2 linked regions of the Drosophila melanogaster genome follow. Changing the gene in region 1 together with any one later gene gives a genetic interaction. Each region holds a gene or a part of one and is shown in the gene's direction. Other genes may lie near its edges.

Evidence for each region. Genes that interact genetically often act in the same process or in processes that back each other up.
Region 2: of Fadd (region 1) and MP1, changing one enhances a phenotype caused by changing the other (phenotypic enhancement), as found in Drosophila melanogaster (one study listed by BioGRID).

Annotation. Positions count from the first base shown.
Region 1 is NT_033777.3:22,030,710-22,038,065, forward strand, and holds Fadd (Fas-associated death domain), read left to right. Parts: upstream 1-3,745; 5' UTR 3,746-3,853; coding exon 3,854-4,573; 3' UTR 4,574-4,908; downstream 4,909-7,356. Other genes in the region: CG13409 (uncharacterized protein), read right to left, coding at 1-31, 107-187, 241-497, 564-1,014; CG6015 (uncharacterized protein), read right to left, coding at 1,517-2,050, 2,111-2,589, 2,655-3,372; CG45099 (uncharacterized protein), read right to left, coding at 3,373-3,477; pit (pitchoune), read left to right, coding at 5,126-5,306, 5,367-5,588, 5,798-6,484, 6,543-7,168, 7,248-7,356.
Region 2 is NT_033777.3:4,303,920-4,310,335, forward strand, and holds MP1 (melanization protease 1), read left to right. Parts: upstream 1-3,988; 5' UTR 3,989-4,067; coding exon 4,068-4,137; exon of another isoform or gene 4,138-4,344; coding exon 4,345-4,508; coding exon of another isoform or gene 4,509-4,535; exon of another isoform or gene 4,536-4,670; coding exon 4,671-4,914; exon of another isoform or gene 4,915-4,975; coding exon 4,976-5,700; 3' UTR 5,701-5,916; downstream 5,917-6,416. Other genes in the region: Vps24 (vacuolar protein sorting 24), read right to left, coding at 6,054-6,416. UniProt on the Drosophila melanogaster protein: Serine protease which plays an essential role in the melanization immune response by acting downstream of sp7 to activate prophenoloxidase (PPO1).

The DNA of each region.
Region 1 (7,356 bases):
GATACTTGCGCAAGGTGTGGGCATACCAGCACTGAAAGCAGAAAGATAGTATTATTTCATATGTCTAGAGCCACATAACTTGGCTTATTAGCTGACAAAAACTTACTATGACAATGAAGGTGAACAGCAGAAAGATGCACCTAAACCAGATTTCAATCTGCGTGAAGTCCGGACTGTAAGTCTTGAACTGAAGTGGAAAGTTAGTGACCATCACTACAATGGGAATGCCATGCCACTCACGTAAAATGTTATGCTGCGTATATTATACTTCTGATGGAATGACTCCAAGCCGTAAAAGCGCACAGTGATAATATAGTGGGCATAGTCGAGGAATCCCAGATGCATCACCGTGAACTCCTCGCAGTCGTTCCGTACGCAGACCAAGTGCCGCGTCCGGTTGTGAGCCACTCCGGATCCGAGGACACTTTGGGGCTTGTGCTGCTCGTTTATGCCATCGATTGAGACGCTCACTTGGAAACTCTTGTCGTACCGCTCGTCTGAATGATTGTCATACATATATGTAAATGTAAGAAAAGTAAAATAGTCGCAATCACAAGACCCACCATCATTGTTGTCCGTCACCAGCTTGGCTATCAGCCACATTTGCTGCGAATATGTGGTGGTCAGCGGCGACTTCATGGCGAAGGGTCCCTTCCCCAGGACCGTTGGGCTATGCGCCAGCGAGGTGTTCGCCAGAATCTGCTGGGCGGTCAGCGATGATGTGCTGGTTATGGGCGGTCCCGTCAGCCCGATGACTATGCCCAGACCGAAGCAGGTGAAGAATCCCAGGAAGACCATGACAAACTCGCGCTTGTGCATCGAGTAGAGTCGCATATGGACGGATCGCTCGCAGCGATCGTGATGATAGGCGGGCGAGATGTACCTGCTGAAGTCGCTGAACAAATCGCTGAACTGTGAGAGGGAAGATTTGAGGCGCAGCAGGAGGCCGCCGGACGGCAGCTGGTAGGCGTAGCCCAGGCCAGAGGCATCCGCATCCGAGTGGGGCTTGGCCATGGCCGCTGGCAGGAATTACGGGTGTCTAGCTGATGCTCGGTGTCCACCTAGCCGTCGCCTTTTACTGCATCTCCTCTACGCCGTAGAACTCTTTTTTTTTCGCGTTTTTTTTACAGATTATTGACAAGTCTTCCACAATCCGTCCGACGTTTGTGCGACTTTCGTGGAAAATATCGATTTTGGCCAGCACTACTCGCATATGTTTTGACTTGCCAGTGGGGGTGGCTGGGCCATTGGGTGGTGGGCCGACCATCCGTCGAGTTGTTTGCCATTTCACATGCACTGCGCATGCGTACTCTTATCACAACTGAAGGTAAATAAAAGCCAATCTCGCAAAGGGGGGAGGGAATATCAAGCAACCGGATGGATAAATAACTTAGGAATTGGGCTTGATACACATGAATTAAATGAGCTCAATTGGAACATAATGGGTAAGCAATATAATCAATCAATTTACACATCAGTTTGGCTTACATCTATCTATGTTATTTTGTGCGGACCATTAGTCCCAGTATTTTATCTGGCCATCCCAGCCAGCGGTGACCACTTTGCTGGCCTCATGCGGATGCCAGAGGGCACTGATGCAGACGCCGTCGTGCGCCTGCCACTTCTTGTACATCTTCGTCGTCTTCCAGTCCCAAATATAACATTTGCCATCGCCATCGCCCGACACCAGATAGCTCATGTCCGGCGAAAAGTCCAGCTGGCAGGCGTAGCCAGAGACCATGTGACCGGTGAAGGTCTTTTTGCGGTTCATCTTGAAGCGATTGAGGGCGGAGAAGATGACGATCTTGTTGTCTAACGACTGGCAGGCCATCCATTTGCCATTGGGCGCCAATGTGACCGCCGGCATGGAATGCATAGTGGGGTCGGCAATGTACTTCATGTCCACAGGAATGTCCCACTCCCATATGCGCATCGATTTGTCGTCCGAGGTGGTCACAAACCGTCGGTTGTCGTCCACAAAGGTGATGGTGCTCACAGATCCCAAGTGCCGGTCGTATTCCTGTACAATATCACCGCTGCGAGTGTCCCACTGCGAATTGATAGGAAAACAATTGTAACATGAGCATCTACTTTTGTAAATTTTACTTACACAAATGATCTTCTTGTCGGAGGTGCCGGCAACGAACAAATGTTGCTTGCTATTATCCGGATGGAATTTCACACAGAAAGGCATTTTACGCGTTGTGAATCGGGACACTACATCGCCCGTTTCGGCATCCCACAACTTTATGTAGCGATCATACGAGGCAGACAGGAAGTTGGTACCCCTGTTGTTCCACGCAATATCCTTGATGGCCTGCCGGTGACCGGAGAAGGTGCGTATGCAGCGTCGCTCGCCGTAAACCTCCCACAGTTTGACGCGACAGTCCATCGATCCGGAGAGCAGAAGATGAGCGGTCTTGGGGAACCAGCGGATGGAGGAGATGCCCTTGTTGTGGCCCGACCAGGTGTGTATGTGCGCCTTGGGCAGAAAGCATTTGGTCGGTGGTGCATTCGATCGTAGATTCACGCCCAGATCATGAGGAGCATGCAAATAAGAGCGGCCCTGATAGTCGTACGCATCCTTGACTGTGGAGCAAAAAAGGAAAAGATTATTAACGATATATATTCGGTGGCTATTGGATTAAACTCACTGTGCAGCGTCGACTTCTCCTCGAGCGGCTTATCCTCGGGAATGCGTCCGCGCTTATGTCGCTTAGACAGCAGCTCGTCCAGTTCGGCGCGCTCCTGTTCATTTGGCTTTGCCACCGACACCTCGTTTTCGAACTTGCCCCAGGGACCCAGAAAGCCCTCAATGTCCTCGGGATTATCATTTTTCTCCTGCTTGCGCAGTTTCTTTGCCTTGGGCGGCTCAAATACCGTCTTGCCATTGTCATCGTACGCAGACTGCAGGTCACCCACAAAAGACTGGCCGTCCGCCTGATCGTCTACGCTGGGGTCCAATGCGTAGCCGTAGGTGTGAAAGGTGCGTCGCTGGTTCTCAAATTCGAAGGCATTGATGTGGGCCTTCTCTACGTAGCCGGCTAGGGTGTTCCGCGGAGCGCGCTGCTGCATGGTGAGGTCCGGATGCTCCGGACCTTTTACCGGAGCATACATCTCCTCATAGCGCGGATTGTAGGTTACCTCCTTGAGCGTGGGATCCAGAGTTCGGGGCACGGCCGATGCTCCAAGGGGAACCACCGTTGGCGCCGCACAAACAGCAATGGACTTGGATAGCGAGTGTGTCTTGTCCACGGGCAGCAGGTGATCCGGAATGGGAGCGGAGGGCTCTGAATTCGTGGTGGCTGTGGCGGCGTCCGCATGGTCCGATTCTTCATCCGAGGAACTGGCGTATGACTGAAGGCCCAACATTTAGAGGCTGCGGACGAACTCTGTGTACTTGTTAACGAAATGCTGAAGGTAAATCAAGACCAGAGTGTAGAGGAGGAATACGAAAACGTTAATGGATATTTCCATTCGTCTACACGTTTGCGTTTATCATTAGTTGCTTCAGTAAAAGTAACAAAAACATAAATATATATCTATCAAAACTAGGGATGGTGCGTGCCATCTGTTATCGATGTTATCGAATGGCTATGTAACGGTCTCACTAATAGATCCCAAACATGCAAGGTGGTGCAAGTTTAAAGCTTATTTTAAATTTTTTAAGTTGTATGGAAATAGTATTTGATATTTTTTTGCTCATTTTGCTCAAACACCTATTCAGTGCTGATCGATAACAGGTAAGGAAATGTTTGGCCATACGGTCATACTACATCAGGGAGTGAAGTTGCGTTGATACATTTTGGGAACTTAAGACCGCTGAAAATACCGTCTCTGTAAATTAGTCACAATGACTGCAGGCAGGCACTGGAGCTACGACAGCCTCAAACAAATCGCCATTGATGGATGCACCGAGAACGTGGAGCAGTTGAAACTAATTTTTGTCGAAGAGATTGGTTCGCGACGCAGATCGGATTGCATACGAACCATCGAGGATTTAATTGACTGCCTGGAACGAGCGGACGAACTATCGGAGTACAATGTGGAGCCACTGCGCCGGATATCAGGCAATATGCCACAGCTCATCGAGGCTCTGAGCGCCTACACAAAGCCGGAAAACATTCTTGGACATCCGGTTAATCTGTACCAGGAACTCCGATTGGCCGAGGAACTTCGTCAGCAGCTCCGTATTGCTCCAGCTTCCCAGAATGCTCAGCCATCAGTTTCGGAATTAGCTGCCGCTGTGCCTCCAACAGCAATCCAAAACTATGCCACCCCAGCTGCTTTTACGGATCACAAACGAACGATGGTCTTTAAGAAAATATCCGAGGAACTGGGTCGCTATTGGCGACGACTGGGCCGATCGGCGGGCATTGGCGAGGGCCAAATGGACACAATCGAGGAGCGCTACCCGCACGACTTGAAGTCCCAGATTCTGCGACTGCTGCAGCTCATCGAAGAGGATGATTGCCACGATCCCAAGCACTTTCTGCTTCGTCTGTGTCGCGCCCTGGGCGATTGTGGTCGCAATGATCTGCGCAAGAGGGTGGAGCAGATAATGTCGCACTAGAACGCATTCACTTATATGCACTTTATATGCATTTTGTTACGATACTAGTAATTAATGTGCTGGAGAGCGACAAAGATGTGCCTTTATTGTAATTATTCACATGTTATTCCAAGGTTGGACAGAGCATAAAAATCGCACACTAAATTAATATGTGTCAACGCGGAATTGTACGATCTTATAAGAAAATGTGATTGACGTATTCCATTCAAAATGGGAATTCACATTTCCTTATCATAAGATAGTCTACAAAAAATATTGTTAACTCGTAATACACAAGTCACATAGTTGAAGATAGCAATGTACAATGGATATAAAATACGTTTTGCAAACGCTTTTGCTTCTCTTATCCTCAAAAGACGGTTGAAAATTTGTTTACAAATAGGGTCACACCTTTTGCATTGAACTATCGAATTGGCAATTATCGATAGGCACAGCTGGCTGAATATCGTTTGCTTCGGGGTGAATGGTTAGCAACACGTGCGCGCAATATTTTATTTGAGAATTCTGTTTTTAACCATTAAACTCTATTAAAAAGCATACATAGTTAGCAATATGTCTATTCGGGAGAAGCTGCTGATGAAGAAGATCGTTAAGCGGGAGAAGATGAAGAAGGAGCTCTCGCAGAAGAAGGGAAACAAGAACGCCCAAAAGCAGGAGCCACCCAAACAAAATGGCAATAAACCCAGTAAAAAACCGGAGAAACTCAGTAAAAAGCATGTGGCCAAGGATGAGGGTACGATTAAAAACGTGTGTGCCTAATAAATATATGTAAGATTCACTTTTCGACCCGCAGATGACGACTTAGAGGAGGATTTCCAGGAGGCGCCGCTGCCCAAGAAGAAGCAACAAAAACAGCCTCCAAAAAAGCAACAAATTCAGGTGGCCAACTCGGATTCGGAATCAGATGACGATGAGCAGGAGGATGAGGCAGATGAGGATAGCGATTTGGACGAAGTAGCCGAAGTTGATGAGGAGGATGTTGACAGCGGGAGTGAAGATGATGACCAGCAGGAAGGTAAGTAAAAGTGTCGATATTTAGGGAATTCGTTCTAACTACCAATAATAATGATGATTTTTAAAGGCGAATTTGAGCAGCTCTGGTGCAGCGAGTTAATGTTGCCCAGGGCAGGCATGAAATCCATTTAAAAACCAACTGAATTATATAAAATACTAAAAAACTGTATCCCTGTGAAAACCAAAATTAACCAAGAGTACCTGTTTCAGATGAAGATGAAGAAGAACCTGTGCCAGCCAAGAAAACGAAGTTGCTTCCCAACAAGTCCAAGGCACAGAATGGCAAACCAGCTAAAGACGACGAGCCCTTTACCGTGGAATCCTCACTGGCTGCACTGGATTACCGAGATTCGGATGATCGCAGCTTTGCCTCTTTAAAGGGCGCCGTGTCCGAGGCCACATTGCGAGCCATTAAGGAGATGGGTTTTACCGAGATGACTGAAATTCAGTCGAAATCGCTGACACCCCTACTAAAGGGACGGGATCTGGTGGGTGCTGCCCAGACGGGTTCCGGCAAAACCCTGGCCTTCCTGATACCCGCCGTCGAGCTGATAAACAAGCTGAGGTTTATGCCACGCAATGGTACCGGCGTGATCATCATCTCACCTACCCGAGAGTTGTCCATGCAAACTTTCGGTGTGCTCAAAGAGCTGATGGCACACCACCATCACACTTATGGCTTGGTAATGGGCGGCTCCAATCGGCAGGTGGAGAGCGAGAAGTTGGGCAAGGGCATCAACATTCTGGTGGCCACACCGGGTCGTCTGCTGGATCATTTACAAAACTCGCCCGACTTTCTGTACAAGAACCTTCAGTGCCTGATTATCGATGAAGTGGATCGAATTCTGGAGATCGGTTTTGAGGAGGAGCTTAAGCAAATAATAAATCTGCTGCCAAGTGAGTTACGGGTAACTAAAGGTTTTTAGTGTATTTTTAAACTAACCTAATCTTTTAGAACGCCGCCAGACGATGCTCTTCTCGGCCACACAGACGGCTCGCATCGAAGCGCTTTCCAAGCTGGCCCTTAAGTCGGAACCAATTTATGTAGGGGTTCACGACAACCAGGACACGGCGACCGTAGATGGACTCGAGCAGGGGTACATTGTTTGCCCCTCGGAGAAGCGACTGCTCGTGCTCTTCACGTTCCTCAAAAAGAATCGTAAGAAGAAGGTGATGGTGTTCTTCTCGTCCTGCATGTCCGTCAAATACCACCACGAGCTCTTCAACTACATTGATCTGCCAGTGACCTCCATCCACGGTAAACAAAAGCAAACGAAACGAACGACCACCTTCTTCCAGTTCTGCAACGCGGAATCTGGGATTCTCTTATGTACGGATGTGGCTGCTCGTGGATTGGACATTCCGCAAGTCGATTGGATTGTGCAGTACGATCCTCCAGATGATCCACGCGAGTATATTCACAGGGTGGGCCGAACGGCCAGAGGATCGGGCACCTCGGGTCACGCCCTCCTTCTGATGCGACCGGAGGAGCTGGGCTTCCTGCGCTACCTTAAGGCCGCCAAGGTGCCGCTCAATGAGTTCGAGTTCTCCTGGCAGAAGATAGCTGATATTCAACTGCAGGTGGGTGCTCTTTCTTTGAGTTAAAATTGTTAGCTATGGTTTAAGGTGATTTAATTCGTATGTTTCTTATCCACTGCAGCTGGAGAAACTGATCGCCAAGAACTATTTCCTAAACCAGTCGGCCAAGGAAGCCTTTAAGTCGTATGTGCGCGCATACGATTCGCATCAATTGAAGCAGATCTTCAATG
Region 2 (6,416 bases), about 18 Mb from region 1:
ATAAAAATATATTAAAGATTCTATACCCTAATTAATCATAAATTTGCGACTCAAAATATACAAGAATAATTTAACTTTAAAAATAATAAAAGACGCATAGCCCAAAGTTAAATTAATTACCTAGGACCATATACAGATTGAGTAATAACAATAGTTTTGACACACGCCTCATTGACATTTGATATCATATAAACCACTTTTGGACATCTATCATCTAATTAAAGCGTACCTGCTTTCGTTACAAGCCCCCAAAAAATAGCAAGACTTTTTTTAAATATCTGCATTATATCTCCTTGCCTTCGAAAGAATACGATTTAGAAATGGGAAACATTCAAAGAAATGCCGTAGAAGTCCCTGGTAAATCGAAAGCAGCTGTAATAGTTAGCAGCTTAGCCACTTATCGCAGTTAAATTAAGCATTCTTGCATTTCGATAACGTTTTGAAGATAGAGTAACTTAACAACCAATGCCAATGGTTCTGTCAAACAATTATTACTCATAGGTCAAAGTTCTACACGGACACGCACTAAACACCGCAGCGATGCAAGTGCGAGTCGAATGATTGAATGAGTAGCGAATACCAGTATTGTACCAGTTAAATTGAAATATATTGTATTGCATTGTAATATGTTGTATTGTATTTACTGTTGAATTATATTTTAATATAGAACAAGTTCATTTAGAATAAAGCGTTTAAAAATGCATTATGAAAAAATCAATACATTCCGCGTCTTATTTTAGTTTCTGGGGTGTTAGTCGATTCGCCCACGCACACTCAAGTGTAATAAAGGCCAACGTTCCTCACATTCACCATCCTCATCTCGCCATGCCATGGCATATCATTCTGCCAACATTTTGCTCAGTAGGAGGCGTACATTGGAATTTGTTAAAACTCGTTCTTAGCAATCCAAGCTGCTGTCGCTGTGCAGTTGTGTGGTCTGCATTGTTGTGACATTACATTCCTAAGTGTTTGGGAATTCAAAGACTTTTCCGACTTTTTCCTGATGACTTTCCTTCCACCCATTTAGCCATTCTCTGCTCACTTTGACTTGGCTTTGTGAGCCCTTATGTATGGATGTAATTTTTTCAATCGCCGAAAACACCCCTTATCATATAACATATAAACCACGAGTTAAGAAATCAAGGGACGATCACTCCTAACATACAAAAGTTCTGTTTTCAGCTTTTGGGTAGAAAAATATTTGTGAACTTGACTAAACGCACTCTAATATTTACTTATTAAGTAAACTAAATGCACATTCTTAATTAGCGAACTCGAGATAAAGAATATATCTCGCAAATTGTAACATCATTTTTACATCTGTTAGTGGTTTAAAAATAAGGCGTCGCTTAATGCGAATTCCTATGAACAAATTGTATACCCACCAGTCCCATTTCACGTTCACCTTTTGCTACTGAACCATTCTATTTTCTTATATCTTGGTTTTGTATCCCTTTAGTTTTAAGTCTAGTTGCAGACCAAAGAAATTTTTCATTTCTTTTTATATATATTGTGTGTGTCTTTGCACACTCTCCTGTTACGCTTCGTCACTATGTGGATTGTGATATGAGATAGAGCGCAATAAGCGGGCGGGAGATGATTGTGGATGATGGCATTTCAAACTTTGTTGGTTTGGTTCGTGTTCGATAGGGGGGGGGAGTACTTTCAATTCTATTCTTAATTACAAAAGTTTATTGGTATTTCGGTACAACTTATATTAAATCCGTTGTCTTCTTTAAATACTTTCATTGTCATTCAGGATTATTTAAGATTCGTGCAAAACCAGTAGAGTGACAGACATCATCTTATAAATATTGTAGGAGCGGCCTTTAATTATACAAAGGAAAGACCCCACGTGTCACCGCTAGAACACTTTGCAGTTAGCGAAGTGTGAACAGCGGCGTTTATTAGCCCAAAACCACAACGTCAGGAACGGCAATTCTCTTGCTACCCCGCAGATTCCAATTTAATTTAATACGAGTAGTCAGAAGTTCAGCTCAAAGATAAGCCGGAGGTAACCCCTAATGAAATGCATTGTCAAATGAAATGGTAAAATTGACGACGTCCACTCTTTCTTGAAGTGGGCAACGGCATTAAATCAGCAAACTAATGGCCACTAAGCAAACGATAGGGCGAGAGGCATCTGTTCTGAAGGAAGATGGTAACTGCCAACTGAGGGACTGTTCGCCTAAGTGCTTTTCGTTCGCATCTTGGCCACTCGGCCTTAACTTAAAAGCGCTTGAAACAAATTGAAATCATTTCTTTCTTACTTTTGGCGAAGGCTACATTTACAGCTTATAGCCAATCATCATAATGCCGCGTCTGTTTAAAGTTTTCTGTACATTGCAATTGCAAATTACTACGCTGTCGGAAACGGAAACAGTCTAGATAAAACAATGTCACAATTTTAAAATAATGTCTTATTTTACCAAAACTCGTAAAATGTAAGGATGTAACCCTCACAAATATTCGCTTTCTTCACCAAGATCACTAGCCCTGTCGATATTACCATACCCAACCAAAAGACATAAGAAGTAGAATTATTCGACATAATGCCTTTGCTCTACTCAACGCTTTGTAACCGCCTCACGACAATTTAAAAGCACTTAAAACAATTTCATATATCATTACAAATTGAAGTGGTATGCTTGTATATTTATGAATTTAAATGATTAGAAAAGATTAGAAAATCATGGAAATTAAATTGAATAACAAAGTGACTCCTTGGACGTCCACTTCTGAAACTATATTGGCTTATGGAGTACATAACCTCAGTTCTTTTTATACCAGTTACGCGTAGAGTAAAAGGGTATAATAAATTCTTTGAAAAGTACAAACTACATGTACGCATGGAAGCGTTTCCGACTATATAAAGTATATATATTCTTAATCAGGATCAATAGCCGAGTCGATCAAGCCATGTCCGTCTGTCACAGGCGCAGCGCAAGTTTGTTGTCCCATGTTGCCACACTTTTGAAAAATGTGTTATTTTCCTTGCCACGCCCACTGCAAGTACCTTAAACCGCACATAACTGCCACGCCCACAATTTTGAAAAATTGTTCGATATTTTTTCATAATTTTATTAGTCTTGTAAATTTTCTATTTATTTGGCAAAAAACTTTTTGCCACGCCCTAAAGCAGCTAAAGCCGGTCACGCCCTACTTTTGAACAATTATTAATTTTTTTTTTCTCATTTTATTCCCCAATACCTATTGATATCCCAGAAAAATTATGAAATTTCGCGTTCGCATTCACACTAGCTGAGTAACGGGTATCGGATAGTCGGGGAACTCGCATTCTCTCTTGTTATTTTTCTAACAATACTTAAAAAACTTAAGGTTACTGTATTTCTCTGGAATCTTAACGATAAAATAAGTATAATAGTATAGTAGTACAATCGTTTTAAATACCTATTAATGAAGTTTAGAGAATATATACGAAGTTAGAAAAATTGATTATGGAAACTACTTTAGGATATTTTCCTAAGTTTCTCCTAATTATTTTCAAAGATTTTATGTATCTGGCTACAAAAAAAGATTGGTAATGTTTAATTTTGATATTTTTCAAAATATTCGATTATTATGTTTTACAGAAATTGTTTTTACAGAGGGTTTGCAAATGTTTGAATGTGAAAATTCACTCTCTGTTAATAAAGTGGGTTTGCCAGATTTTTTAATGGATTGGCCCGTATGGACTTACAGATATCGTCCGACCCAAGATATTTCAGCCCTAGGAGAAGAGGGTAAGTATCATCTGCATTCTGTTGGCGTGGGAAGTTCCCTGATGAGCAACGCATAAAGAGCGGACCCAACATTGAGAGCGGGCTTTTTCGCCAGTATGGGTGTGCCCAAAACCAGACCCTGAGATAAACCCAGACTTGCACTCTCTTAATGCTGGTGTGCTTCCTCAGGTTGAACCATTCTCTGTGAGAGAACCGCTGATAAGCTGTAACTTAGAGCTCGATCGCATTCCAGTTTATAGCCACATTCAGTGTGTTCTCGGCAGGCGCTCTGTCAGCGTATCGTTCTTCCAAGTACAGTGCTATAGTACAGTCGAAGATATAACCATGGAACCGCACTTTTTTTTCACCGTACTGTGGATGCTATTGATGGGAACAAGCAGCACTTACGCACAAGGCAAGTGGTTTTGGCTCTCAGTCGTAGTCGGGGGTTGCTGGCATCAAAACACAAAGCAACCTCCTATCAGCGGTGAACTTCACCCCGAGTCGGGCTGAGTCGATGATAGTCACAGTGGGCTGGTCCCAGAACGCAGAAATCCCGTTCCCGCTGTTAATCACGACTATCTTTGAACCGGGCTTTACGATTTACGTTTTTTTTTTTCAGAAATCTTTGGGTATTGTAGAACGCCTGATGAGAACAGCGGCACCTGCATAAACCTCCGGGAATGTGGATACCTATTCGAACTGCTTCAAAGCGAAGAGGTTACGGAACAGGACCGTCGATTTCTGCAAGCCAGCCAATGTGGCTACCGGAATGGACAAGTGCTTGTTAGTACCCCCTTAAAAAGTTGTGGTGCTAAAATCGATTAAGATCATTTTCATCCATTGAACATATATATAAATTAATTCTTTTACTTATGGCTATCGCATCGAATCGCTTTTCGATGCGACGCCACCATGCATTCTTATTATCAACTTTTATCAATTTAGGAAAAACATTTTTGTTTTACCAATGTTCAGATTTGCTGTGCAAACAGCCGAATGCGAAACCAGCAACCTCAGTGGGGAAATCATCCTCAACCTACTCAGACCACTAAGCCTACAAAACGCTCTGGGACCAAACTGTTACCAATGGCGCCCAATTGCGGTGAAAACTTTGGAGACCGAGTGGTGGGTGGTAACGAGACGACAAAGAGGGAGTTTCCTTGGATGGCCCTAATAGAGTACACGAAGCGTGAGTAACCAAAATATTCCCTGCTGCAGGGACTAATCCCCCCCCCCCCCCATTTTACCAGCCGGTAACGTGAAAGGTCACCACTGCGGCGGATCTCTAATCAACCATCGTTACGTTCTGACGGCGGCACACTGCGTCTCGGCTATTCCCAGTGATTGGGAGCTGACGGGAGTACGCCTGGGTGAGTGGGATGCGAGCACCAATCCGGATTGCACAGTCGGTAAAAACGGACGACGGGACTGCAACGAACCGTACGTAGACTACCCTGTTGAGGAGCGTATTCCGCACCCGCAGTACCCGGGAAACTCACGGGACCAGCTAAATGACATTGCGTTGCTGCGATTGCGGGACGAGGTTCAGTACAGCGACTTCATATTACCAGTATGTCTGCCCACTTTAGCGTCCCAGCACAACAATATATTCCTTGGCCGAAAGGTGGTGGTGGCAGGGTGGGGTCGCACGGAGACAAATTTTACGTCCAATATCAAGCTGAAGGCTGAGTTGGATACGGTACCGACGTCCGAATGCAACCAAAGATACGCCACCCAAAGAAGGACTGTCACCACCAAACAGATGTGCGCCGGCGGAGTTGAGGGGGTTGATTCCTGTCGCGGGGACTCGGGTGGCCCCCTTCTGCTCGAGGACTACTCCAATGGAAACTCAAACTACTACATTGCTGGTGTGGTCTCCTACGGACCCACGCCCTGTGGCCTAAAAGGATGGCCCGGCGTGTACACAAGGGTTGAAGCGTATCTGAACTGGATAGAAAACAACGTTAGGGCTTAATCTTAAATGACGAAAATTAACATTCTTAGGGATTGATCGTAAATCGTGCAGATTACCATTGTAAAATGGGACATGCCACAGTAAATATCGATTTTTAATGAAAGGTAGATTTTACAATAAATTAAGTTATCTCGTGTAGATTCAACGGTAAAACGCGCAGAGTTCAACACTTCTTGATCTGGTGTACTGTACACTTATAATATAAAAACTCAATTCAAGTTTCTGGAGATTATTTTGGTTTCTACAATCAAATGACGGCGTGGGGGTTGCCGTTTATGATTTTGATAAGGTCTGCCAGTCAAAATCACTTGCCTTTAATTTCAAATCTAAATAAAATACCCATAGCAGTTGTTTTAAGATCGCAGCGAGGCCAGGCGGCTTTGCATCTCTTGCAGTTCCTCACCCTCCTCATCGTCCTGCTCAGCCTCGACGCGCGCAGCAGACGCAGACGCCTTGTCCGCCGGTGTAGCCTCTGGAGGCAGGGGAGCTTCCCCGAGCTTGCCATCTGTGATCTCCCACAAAACCTTGTCCACCTCCTTGCTTGCCTCCTCCTCCAGCTCCTCGGACTCCTCCAGCGAGTCCATGGTCTCGTCTAGCATCTCCTCAATAATGCCGGCCTTCATCATTTCCTTTGACATGTCGCGCATGATGCCTGCAAGCTCTGGATAGCGCACCAGGCTCTGCATAGCTTGCAAGACCTCTGTAGACTTTTGCAG